Macaca fascicularis: one gene and its partners. The protein of the gene in region 2 purifies or fractionates together with the protein of the main gene of each other region. This does not show direct contact. Links are inferred from orthologs where the notes say so. Each region holds a gene or a part of one and is shown on either strand. Other genes may lie near its edges. The genes, in order: CHUK, PRKCQ and IKBKB.

Region 1 (3,654 bases), about 100 Mb from region 2:
GTATGTTTTCTTTTAAAAAATTCTAATTTTTAATTATACAAATCAGAAATTAGAGTATTATAAATAATACCGATCTTTCCCCCTCTGTTCATCCACCTGCAATTAAGTAGCATTTCAAATCCAGTCCCTTTTTATTGGAAATAAATTTTTTATTGTAATGTTTTTCTTTCTTATTAGGTTGAACCATGCCAACGTTGTAAAGGCCTGTGATGTTCCTGAAGAATTGAATATTTTGATTCATGATGTGCCTCTTCTAGCAATGGAATACTGTTCTGGAGGAGATCTCCGAAAGGTAGTGTGGATGTTTTGAGATGAGAGATAGTAAATCACAAACTTTAGCATTATTTGAATCATATTAAATATAATAAACTAGAATAAGAATCGGAAAAACTATGGTCTGCTTCCTGTTTTGTAAATAGTTTTATTGGAACATAGCCACATTCATTTCTTTACACATTGTCTGTGGCTGCTTTCTTATGACTGCAGAATTGAGTAGTTTAACAGAGGCTATGTGACTTGCAAAACCTAAAGTATTTACCATATGGTTCCTTACAGAAAATGTTTGTTGACTCCTGATTTAGAAAATGCATTTTTGTTGTTGCTGTTTGATGGGACTATAGCAGTGGTATTAGATGAAATTTTCAGTGGTTAAGGTGCTTGTAAAAAGTTGTTTTCTGTATTGCAATCTTTCTTTTCTAGCTAATTTTAAATGTGCCCATATGACCATTTATATATATATCCCTGAGATTTGTCAGCCTTTTCCAGTTTCAAGTGCTTTTTGCTTCTTTTTACTTTTATGAGCCTTATCATGAAATTTACATGCCGTCAGTATGGATTTGGTAATTGTATTCCCTTGTATTTTATTATGACTTACTTTCTCATTGAATATTCTCTTAGAGTATAGTAATTAATGTGTGGTCACTATTACAGCCCAGCAATTTGCAGAACACATTTTTAGATTTCTTTCTTTTTTTAGCTGCTCAACAAACCAGAAAATTGTTGTGGACTTAAAGAAAGCCAGATACTTTCTTTACTAAGTGATATAGGTATGTAATCAGTATTAAAATACCATTGTGATGTAATGCCCCTTTGGTCCATAAAAGATTCTGTACCTTTTTGGGAATTCAGGAGAATTGTTGATACACTGTACAAAGTCTATAGAATTTCAACATCTATAAGAAGTTATCATATAAATCTATTACTGTTGATGCTAAATTAAAACCAGGATATTTTTATATCCTAGGGTGCGGTGGCTCACGCCTGTAATCCCAGCACTTTGGGAGGCTGAGGTGGGCGGATCACGAGGTCAGGAGTCCAAGACCAGCCTGGCCAACATAGTGAAACTCCATCTCTACTAAAAATACAAAATGCCTGTAATCCCAGCACTTTGGGAGGCCAAGGCGGGCAGATCACAAGGTCAGGAGATCTACACCATCCTGGCTAACACAGTGAAACCCCGTCTCTACTAAAAAATCCAAAAAATTAGCTGGGTGTGTTGCGGGCGCCTGTAGTCCCAGCTATTTGGGAGGCTGAGGCAGGAGAATGGCGTGAACCCAGGAGGCAGAGCTTGCAATGAGCCGAGATCACGCCACTGCACTCCAGCCTAGGCGACAGAGCGAGACTCCGTCTCAAAAAAATAAAAAGAAAAATAGAAAAATTAGCTGGGCATGATGCCACATGCCTGTAGTCGCAGCTACTCGGGAGGCTGAGGCAGGAGAATTGCTTGAACCCAGGAGGTGGAGGTTGCAGTGAGCCGAGATTGGGCCACTGCACTCCGGCTTGGGCAACAGAGTGAGACTTTTGTCACACACACACACACACACACACACACACACACACACACACACACAAACTAGGATATTTTATTTATTTTTGGCTAGGAGTCCTTTTTTAATCTAATAGGTGTTCCAATAGCTGACAAAAAAATCATGCAAAATGACCTTACTCAATTTCACTCCTCCCACACCATTGACATAGTAATTTTTTTTACAGTGGAATTGCATCTCCTTGAGAGATGGGTCCTCAAATCAACTCTTTTTTGTTTGTTTTGAGACGGAGTCTAGCCCTGTCACCCAGGCTAGAGTGCAGTGGTACGATCTCAGCTCACTGCAAGCTCTGCCTCCCAGGTTCAAGTGATTCTCCTGCCTCAGCCTCCTGAGTAGCTGGGATTACAGGCGCCCGCCACCATGCCTGGCTAATTTTTGTATTTTTAACAGAGACTGGGTTTCACTGTGTTGGCCTGGCTAGTCTCAAACTCCTGACCTCATGATCCGCCCGCCTCGGCCTCCCAAAGTGCTGGGATTGCAAGCGTGAGCCACCGCGCCCGGCCAAGTCAACTCTTGGGGTGAAAAATCTCTGCTTAATCAGAATGACTCCAGAAAAATTCCTAAAATAACCAGTACCTAACCTTTTGGAGGAACCTCAAAAACCAAAAATTTGTTTCCGCGTAGATTTTGGTTTTGCCTCTTTTCCAAGGTCATGAGAGCTAAAGTCCAATTTAAATGGTTGATTTAGGTGGGAGAAGGGGGCTTATTAGAATTACAGGGATTTTCCCAATTGCTTGTTGCATTTCTATTTAATGTTAATTCTAATGAGTTAGATGAACATATAGTATAATTTTGTAGTATTTGCTTAATGTTACGTTTTTCTGTGAAGAAAACCTGAACTACTGTAATATTAGTTGTGTAGTTACGATGATCCATATAAACTTGAGCATCAGAGCAGATTTGTACAAAATGTGAGGTGAATTTTTCTTTTAACTCAATGCTTTCTGTTACTTCAAAGTGTATTTTAAACTTTATTTAGGGTCTGGGATTCGATATTTGCATGAAAACAAAATTATACATCGAGATCTAAAACCTGAAAACATAGTTCTTCAGGACGTTGGTGGAAAGGTAGGTGAAACCTGAAGTAATGTTTCATGCCTATTGAATATAGTCTGTCTGATATAGTTAGTCCTTGAGCTTTGGTGTCTTTGCTGTATGCCCGTAACACTCTTACTTTTTCCATTTCAGACCTTACCACACTGAACTGTAGTTTTGTGTTTAGTTTTTTGTCCCTTCTGCTAAACAGTGGTTCCATTAAAGAAGGAACTGCACCTGTCTTTTTTTTCTTTTTCTTTTTCTTTTTCTTTTTTTTCATACTTAACGCAGCTCCTAGACTTCACCTGTCTTGTTCATGTCTGTTTTTCCAGCATAGTATCTAGCAAAGATACTGGCAGTGAATACATAATATGTTAACACTTACTATTTTATTCTTATGAAGCACATCCAAAACACATACACACACATCCTGGGTTCACTTTAAGAAAAAAAGAAAGTATGTATATTTTTAAAACTTATTTTCCTTCCCCCAATTTAGATGAGTTATCTGGAGAAGAACCAGAAATTGTGAATTGACTCTTAAAATGTTCATTTAATTAGTAACTTTTAAGCAGTTTTCTTGTTTCCAGCGTCCAAATTTCATTCCAGTAAAGACTTAAAAGCCAAGAGTCTGCGCCTTGGGTTGAGTTGTGTGTGCTGTCTTTTCAGTTAGTGAAGATAGTTGTTGGTCTCGTGGGGGTGTTGGAACCTTCGTGATGCTTCTTCTCTTAGGAGCCTTTCGTGTATGCTTGGCACCAAATATCTCTGCTTTTTTTTTTTTTTTTTTTTAATC
Region 2 (3,654 bases):
TTGGTGGGGGATGCAAAATAGTAGGTTTGGGAACCCCTAAATGTGAACTGTGAGCATCTGGCAGGAGGTTCTCAACATCTGAGTCAGTTTCTTCTTGCATCTGCAAATGTCCCTGCTCACAGGCCTTTGCAGGACAACCCTATATAAGATAACACACATCCCTGCCCCCAGTCCTCTCTTCTTTACACTGCTTTTTGTTCCTTCATTACCTGCTGTTGGTATTTTTGTTTATTGCCACTTTCTTCTGCAAGAATAGATGCTCTAAAGGGAAGGCAGTCTTCCTGAGTTCCTTCTGCTTATTTAGTTGACTTTTTTTCCCTCTATGCTCTGGCCCCAGCACTCTTGCAGTGGTCTCTCTGTAAACACTTTTGTGTAAGTGAACTGTGACGGCTTCCACAGTTACTGCAAGCCTGCATCCATTGTCATTATCATTCTCTACAAAGTGTCTACTAAAATCAAAATGCACGTAGGGAAACAAGAAAAGGTGTGCAGTCAGGAGAGTTGTGGGATCTAAACTCCCTCCTACTTTTCCTTTGGAAATCCACGGCAAACTTACAATGCGGAGCTGAGGCTCTCAGAGAGCGGAAGCTGGTCAATGTGCCCACAGAGAAATTCCCTACACATAAGGCTGTTGGAACGGAACATTCTGAACCCACAAATGGGACGTTGGGTGGCTGTCCCACTTTCCCCCTCACCTTGAGCTGCCTGTAAATATTTAAACTTGATGAAACATCACGATTCTTCCATTCAGCCAAGACCTTAGTGAGTGCGAAAGTACGTTTTCTGAAATTTGGACTCTAATGGCTAATTATAGATGCTTTGTAATATCCACTGAAGTTTGCCAAAGCAGCAGTAAGTAGTCTTTAGAGTTGGTTGGAAGATTATGCAGTCTTAATCTACCTAGACTTATTTAAAGTAACCAGGCTTAACCACATAGGGCCATGTTCTACTTCAGCTCATTAGAGCTCCTTCCCATTAACTCCTTATGTAATTTTCTCAACCCAACTGTCTCTTTCCTTTTGTATATGTGGGAAAAATGAGACGGTGTAATAGAGCCACCGGTGGGCCATCGGGTCCTGGTTTAGAGTCCATCACAAAATGTGTGTCCAGAAGGAAGCCCTTGGCTTTGCTGGGCGTCATCAGTGTCCTAAATGGTAGGATTTGGTTCCACCAGATGATGTCAAATGTCCTGGAAGACCTTGCTTTATACATAGTTCATAGCAGGATTTTCCTCCTCCTCCCCTGCTTTGAAAACCCACTCAAACTTACCTGATTCGACATACTCTTTGACGAGCACAGCACAGTAAGGGTTAACAGCCTCGCCCTGACAAGACTGGCAGGACCCGCAGTCAAAGTTGGACAAGCCAATCCGAAGAAATGGCGACATGGTTGCACCCTGGAAAACGACACAAGACAAATGCTGTTTGGGGGCTATAAAAGATACTGTTTTTGGTGTCCCACGTCTACTTAGCCAGTGCTTTATCATGGACAGCCAGAACCTCACAAAGGTCCACTATCCATCTGAACAAACGTTTTCACTTCCCCTTCTGCAGAAGACACTGCTGGACTCACCCAAAACCACACACTGACTTGCCGAGGGGAGAGGCTTTCTGAAAGTCTGAACTCAACTTCGCTAGTAAGAAGTAACTCAAGAGTTAATTCCACTCAACCTAATGGAGTTAGGCCCAATGGTTGGAGAGTGAGGCAAAGGTTTTCCAACATTTTATGTCTTCTGTTATTCAAGTAGGTGCCCCGGAAACAGCACACAGTAATCAGAAAATGAGTTTATAAAGAGCGAGTCTATTTGAGTCACACTAGTTAAATATGACACCGCAAAATTCTTACATGGTCTATTTATGTGTGTAATGGGATTGGCCCAAGGCATTCAGCAGCTGATCCTTATTTACTTCAGACATTTTCAAAAAGGTCTGCTTTCTTCACAGTTACACACACACACACACACACACACACACACACACACACACTCTAAGCCTTTGTACATCACAAACCACATAGAAAACTCTAAACTCATTGACTACTATAAAATAGGACTTTATCATCTAAGGATGAACAAAATACTTCATAAAAGCCCCAAAATCAGTAATTATGCTTTCCAAGAGGTTTAGATGATAGTTATCAAAGTGTTGGCTACAAATCCAGGAATCTAGTCTAATTCTTCACCTATTGTTCCATTATTGAGTGTTCTGGCCACTTATATAAACTAGATACCCCTTCTTGTTTACCTACTTTCCCGAGGTCCCATTAATCTGAAACTATCATCTGGTATTCAGTGAAAAAGTTACTTCCTTGCTCTGTCTCTCTTCTTGACCATTTTATACTTATACTTGTTTTTCTAAGTTTTCATAAGTAAGCCAAAGATAAGAAACAAACCATTGGTTGTCTTTTCTGCCTTTGTGTAAAGAAAGAAAACTGTTTGAAATAATAAAGACCTGGAAGTGAGAATCTGTAACATACCTGGAAATCTTGGACCTGTAATACCCCATCTAGCTAAGCCAAAAGGTATCTCTTGTGTGCTAAATGCCAGTGTTCTTTGATTCTACAAGAGAGACAAATTAGGAGCTTTTGACAGGTGCTGTTAATTTCACAGATATTAATGAAGTCCTAATTTCCTGTAGAGTTTGGAAGGTTTATCTAATGGAGACGGTTGGGTAAACATCATGATTTGCTGGGTTCCGTATCTATCACGTTGCTGAATTAGCAGGTAGATGACTTACAAATTTGTCTTTAGGGGGCCCCCTTTGCCCTATGAGTTTAGAATTCCCAGGCAGGAGTGGGGCTAACAGCTATGAATTCTCCGGAGAGAGTTTCTTTGAGAATCTCTTCTTTCCTGGGCCACTTGGGTCTTTTAGACAAAACTTCATTTCTCCACAAATCAGGAAAAATCACTGAGAATCATCTTCAGTGATGGGAGTGATCGCCATGTTGGGACTTTTTGAAGATTTCCTTAATTCTGTTTGAGTCTAGAGGGATCACTGACTCATAAAGCCTGAGTTAAAGCACTCTGGCCTTTTCTGGTGTCACTCTGCTATTCCTAGGTTGGGTTTCTAATCAGGCAACAGCAGCCCAGCAGGTGACTGGGAAATGCTGTCTCAGGAAGACATGGAAACCTCCAGGGTGACCAGGGTTTCCATTACAGCAAGGAAGAGAGTTGGGGCAAAACCCTCTCTCCTCCTGAAGGTCTTGCCTAGACAATGATTTCTTCCTTAATAAGCAATGCAGATTAAACAGCCATTTCACCAGATTCACTTGCGCTATTCTGTTACTTCTAAGCATTTTGATGATTTGACCAACACATGTATGTTCTGTTTGACAGCCAAGTCAGTATCCCTCTTTCTAAAGGTCTGGTCACAGACCTTTAGAAATGTATGTCAGACGTGACCTGACATACACTTGACATCTAGAAGACAGAATAGGTGGTTGTGTGGTAATCTTCACACATCATTCAATAGAACTGCAAGCCCAGGTGTGAGTTTTTCAGGCAGATGGCAGCATTTTACACCTGAACTGCACAGAGTGCTTTTCTCTCTGTTGTTCAGAGTGCTTTTTAGTTGATCATGATGAAAAATAAAGAAGACACACAAAGTTAGTAAAAAGGCTTTCCAGATTTCCACCAATGAAAGAAATCAGTTACTA
Region 3 (3,654 bases), on a different chromosome or scaffold from region 2:
CAGAAAAGTGGTCTTAGGTGATGGCAGTCTGTTCAATTCCACGTTTACCTCCCAGTGAGGGAGGTCCCTGCCCTGAGTTTGGAGAAATGGCAAAGTTTGCCCCACTGTGGTGACTTATTTTAAAACAGGCATTGCTCCTTTAGCTACATAGGTTCTGGAATATTGAGGAATTTGTTCATTAATTTATAGTCACACTTTACAGTGTACGCATTATAAAAATCGCTTTAAATTACATGTACATCTATAGTGTTTTTTTGTTTTTGTTTTTGTTTTTGTTTTTGAGACAAAATCTCACTCTGTTGCCCAGGCTGGAGTGTAGTGGCATGATCTGGGCTCACTGCACATCTATAGTGGTTTTAACTAAAGGAATTATTGCATTTCTTCTGATCACTTGTTGAGCATTTCTCTTATTTATGACAAGATGAGTTAAAATCCATTAGAACTAGAAGAGCAGGTGCTTTTTGAAAATACATTCCTAATGGCCCAGCATCCTCGTAGGAAATCTGTTGTCTGCAGAGCCATCTTCCTAGAGCTTCCCTTATCAGCACTGGAGGGCCAGGTGGCCAGTTTCAAGTAGATTTTTCTGAAACCCAATAAGGAGCTGTTTTGTGGACTAATCTAGTTTTTAATGCTTTGGGCAACTTTTTAAAAATTTCACTATCTTGTCTCAGATGGCAGGTAAATAGTGATTTCCAGACAAATGCAATTTGGGCTTTACAATTCTATTATAAAGCCACTTTGAAATACATTTTAGGACAAGCCCCAGCAATAAGCATCTTATTTTGGGTCCTTTTTAAATTTCCCATCAACAACTTAAGTTTTCTGTGAGAGGCTTATTCCACACTTAGATAATTAGAAAGTCTTGGAGCCCCCGACTTACAGCTGTCAGTTTCAGCCCAAGCGGTAAAGCACCAGCCTCTGCCATGCTCCGGCTCTTCTAGCTTTCCAGTGTGCTCCTGATAGGCTGGTTCACCACTTGCCAATGAAAATTGTTTGGAGCAAAGCATTTTTTATTTGAATTTCCCAGATGTTTTGAGAATAGTTGGACATTCAGACAGAATAGAAAGAACACCAGACATTGGGTTTGAGCCCCTGATTCTGCTACTCTGTTGCGTGACCTTGGACAAATCATTTGATCATCATTTCCTTTGGTCCAAATTGGGGGACTAAAAATAATGTCTGCCACATGGGCCTGTCATGGCCTTAAGTGAATAAATGATCTGTGTCAGAATACTTGGTTATCTATGAAGTATTATTCAAACTACTCTTCTTATTACCAAGATTTGAAGCCAGTTGCATGTAGATTATTTTTATTGGCCAGGCACTGTGGCTTACCCCTATAATCCTAACACTCTGGGAGGCCAAAGTGGGTGGATTGCTTGAGTCCAGGAGTTTCAGACTAGCCTAGGCAACATGGCGAAACCCCATCTCTACAAAAAATACAGAAATTAACTGGGTGTGTGGTGCACACCTGTAGTCCCAGCTATTTAGGAGGCTGAGGAGGGATGATTGCTTGAGCCTACAAGGTTGAGGCTGCAGTAAGCTGTGATTGTGCCACTGCATTCCAGCCTGGGTGACAGAAAAAAAAATTATTTTTACCTTCAAATACTACTTCAGATACCCCAAGAAGTTCCCTAAGTTGGGAAATGTATAAGTTCATTTATCCTTAGAAACAGTATTTAGCTGTGTACATTTAGAGGGAAGTATCTATGTGTGTGCGTAGGTTTTGCATATTTTATGTAAATGTTGTATGCATACTGTAATCTAGGTTTGGAAGTCCCAGTTTTAACCTCTGTCAAAACACAAGAGTGTGTAGTAGATGAAACAGAAGATAGAGCAAATGAGAAGGAAAAACCAAGGATGAGATAAGGAGGCAGTAGTACTGTCTGCAGAACTCTGGGCACAAGATGGTCAGTGACTCTGCTAAAGGTTGCTTTTCAAAAACTCATTCAGGCAGTCCTGACCAGTCTTAAACTCTCAAAGAATCCGCCTGACTCAATGTGAATGAAAAGATTGGGGCTATAAATCTGTATAGTTGTAAACTGATATTATAAATGTAAAGTGGCTCTTGAGTGCTAAGTGTCATAGGGATGTGTATAACTGTATATTTCATTGACATCCCAGTCAACAATTGACTGCATAGATGACAGTGGTCTCATGAGATTATAATACTGTATTTTTGCTGTACCTTTTCTGGGTTTAGATATGTTTAGATACACGAATATTTATCATTGTGTTACCCTGGCCTACAGTATTCAGTACCGGAGCATGCTGTACAGGTTTGTAGCCTAGGGCAATAGGATGTACTATATAGCCTAGGTGTGTAGTAGGCTAAACCATCTAGGTTTGTGTTCGGTTCACACAACGACTAAATCACCTAATGATGAATTTCTTAGAATGTGTCCCTGTCATAGCAACGTGTGACTGCACCTAACAAGATTCATATTTGCAGGCATTCGAAAGTCCGGCAGAAGAGTGAGGTGGATATTGTTGTCAGCGAAGACTTGAATGGAACAGTGAAGTTTTCAAGCTCTTTACCCTACCCCAATAATCTTAACAGGTAAGGCACAGAAGCATTACACGAATACATATTTTTCTTCCCTTTTTTAGAAATACAAGTCTGGACTGGGCGTGGTGGCTCACGCTTGTAATCCTAACACTTTGGGAGGCCAAGGTGGGTGGATCACCTGAGGTCAGGAGTTCAAGACCAGCCTGGCCAACATGGTGAAACCCCATCTCTACTAAAAATGCGAAAATTAGGAGTGGTGGCACACGCCTGTAATCCCAGCCACTCAGGAGGCTGAGACAGGAGAATCGCTTGAACCCGGGAGGCAAAGGTTGCAGTGAGCTGAGATTGCACCATTGCACTCCAGCCTGGGTGACAGAGTGAGACTCCATCTCAAAAAAAAAAAAAAAAAGAAATTCAAGTCTGAAGTGACATCTGATAACTTTTAAACAGGTTATCAGAATATCGTCCTGTGAGTAAGAAATTGACATAGTCCTTCTTAATCTTAAATCTAGAATGGGTTTCCTTCCCTCATCTCCCTAGAAATCATCTCTTATTCTAAGTTCACATAACAATTTATCTGTGCCTCTTATTACCCTTAATAGCCTCTACCTTGTATCACATTTGGTTTTGCATAGGGTTTGTCTCTGATTCAACAGCAGTCCTTTTAAGGGCAGGGAATTATACCTTATTTCTCTTTCTACCCCTCATGTGGCCCAATTCTGTGTCACAGTCAACAAATAAATCTTTGTCATTTGAATGGCATTACAATCCAGTCTCAGAGCCAGAATCTAAACAATTAATAATATTGTGTAATTGTACAGAATTGGGTAACAGTGCAAAAGAAAGCTACGAGGCAGTCACACATAATTGAGTGGCATGGATAATGATTACCATATTTAAAGGGTGGAAGAGAAGATTGGATGTACTAGTGCTATAAGGAATGACGTGGGATAAGCTAGAACTTTTTGGAAGGGTCTAGACAGATGTGCAGGACGTGGACAGATGAAGAGGAAGGAGGAAGGAAATTCTAAGGGGAAAGATTAAAGTGAGCAAGGCACGTTTGGGAGGTGGTGGGTAGCTGTCTTGGCCTCAGGAAAGGGTTTGAGTGCTCACAGGAGGCAGGCTCTGCAGGGCCAGGGGAAGGA

What was found.
Region 1: the proteins of PRKCQ (region 2) and CHUK purify together in Homo sapiens (affinity purification with western blotting, with the first as the bait; 3 studies listed by BioGRID). This does not show direct contact. The link is inferred for Macaca fascicularis from reciprocal best matches to the Homo sapiens genes PRKCQ and CHUK.
Region 3: the proteins of PRKCQ (region 2) and IKBKB purify together in Homo sapiens (affinity purification with western blotting; 4 studies listed by BioGRID). This does not show direct contact. The link is inferred for Macaca fascicularis from reciprocal best matches to the Homo sapiens genes PRKCQ and IKBKB.

What each region holds. Positions count from the first base shown.
Region 1 is NC_088383.1:109,168,986-109,172,639, reverse strand, and holds part of CHUK (inhibitor of nuclear factor kappa-B kinase subunit alpha), read left to right. Parts: intron 1-177; coding exon 178-292; intron 293-976; coding exon 977-1,046; intron 1,047-2,805; coding exon 2,806-2,894; intron 2,895-3,654.
Region 2 is NC_088383.1:7,442,443-7,446,096, forward strand, and holds part of PRKCQ (protein kinase C theta type), read right to left. Parts: intron 1,764-3,654; exon of another isoform or gene 1,573-1,763; intron 1,421-1,572; exon of another isoform or gene 1,397-1,420; 5' UTR 1,388-1,396; coding exon 1,270-1,387; intron 1-1,269. UniProt on the Homo sapiens protein: Calcium-independent, phospholipid- and diacylglycerol (DAG)-dependent serine/threonine-protein kinase that mediates non-redundant functions in T-cell receptor (TCR) signaling, including T-cells activation, proliferation, differentiation and survival, by mediating activation of multiple transcription factors such as NF-kappa-B, JUN, NFATC1 and NFATC2.
Region 3 is NC_088382.1:45,826,619-45,830,272, forward strand, and holds part of IKBKB (inhibitor of nuclear factor kappa-B kinase subunit beta), read left to right. Parts: intron 1-2,452; coding exon 2,453-2,560; intron 2,561-3,654.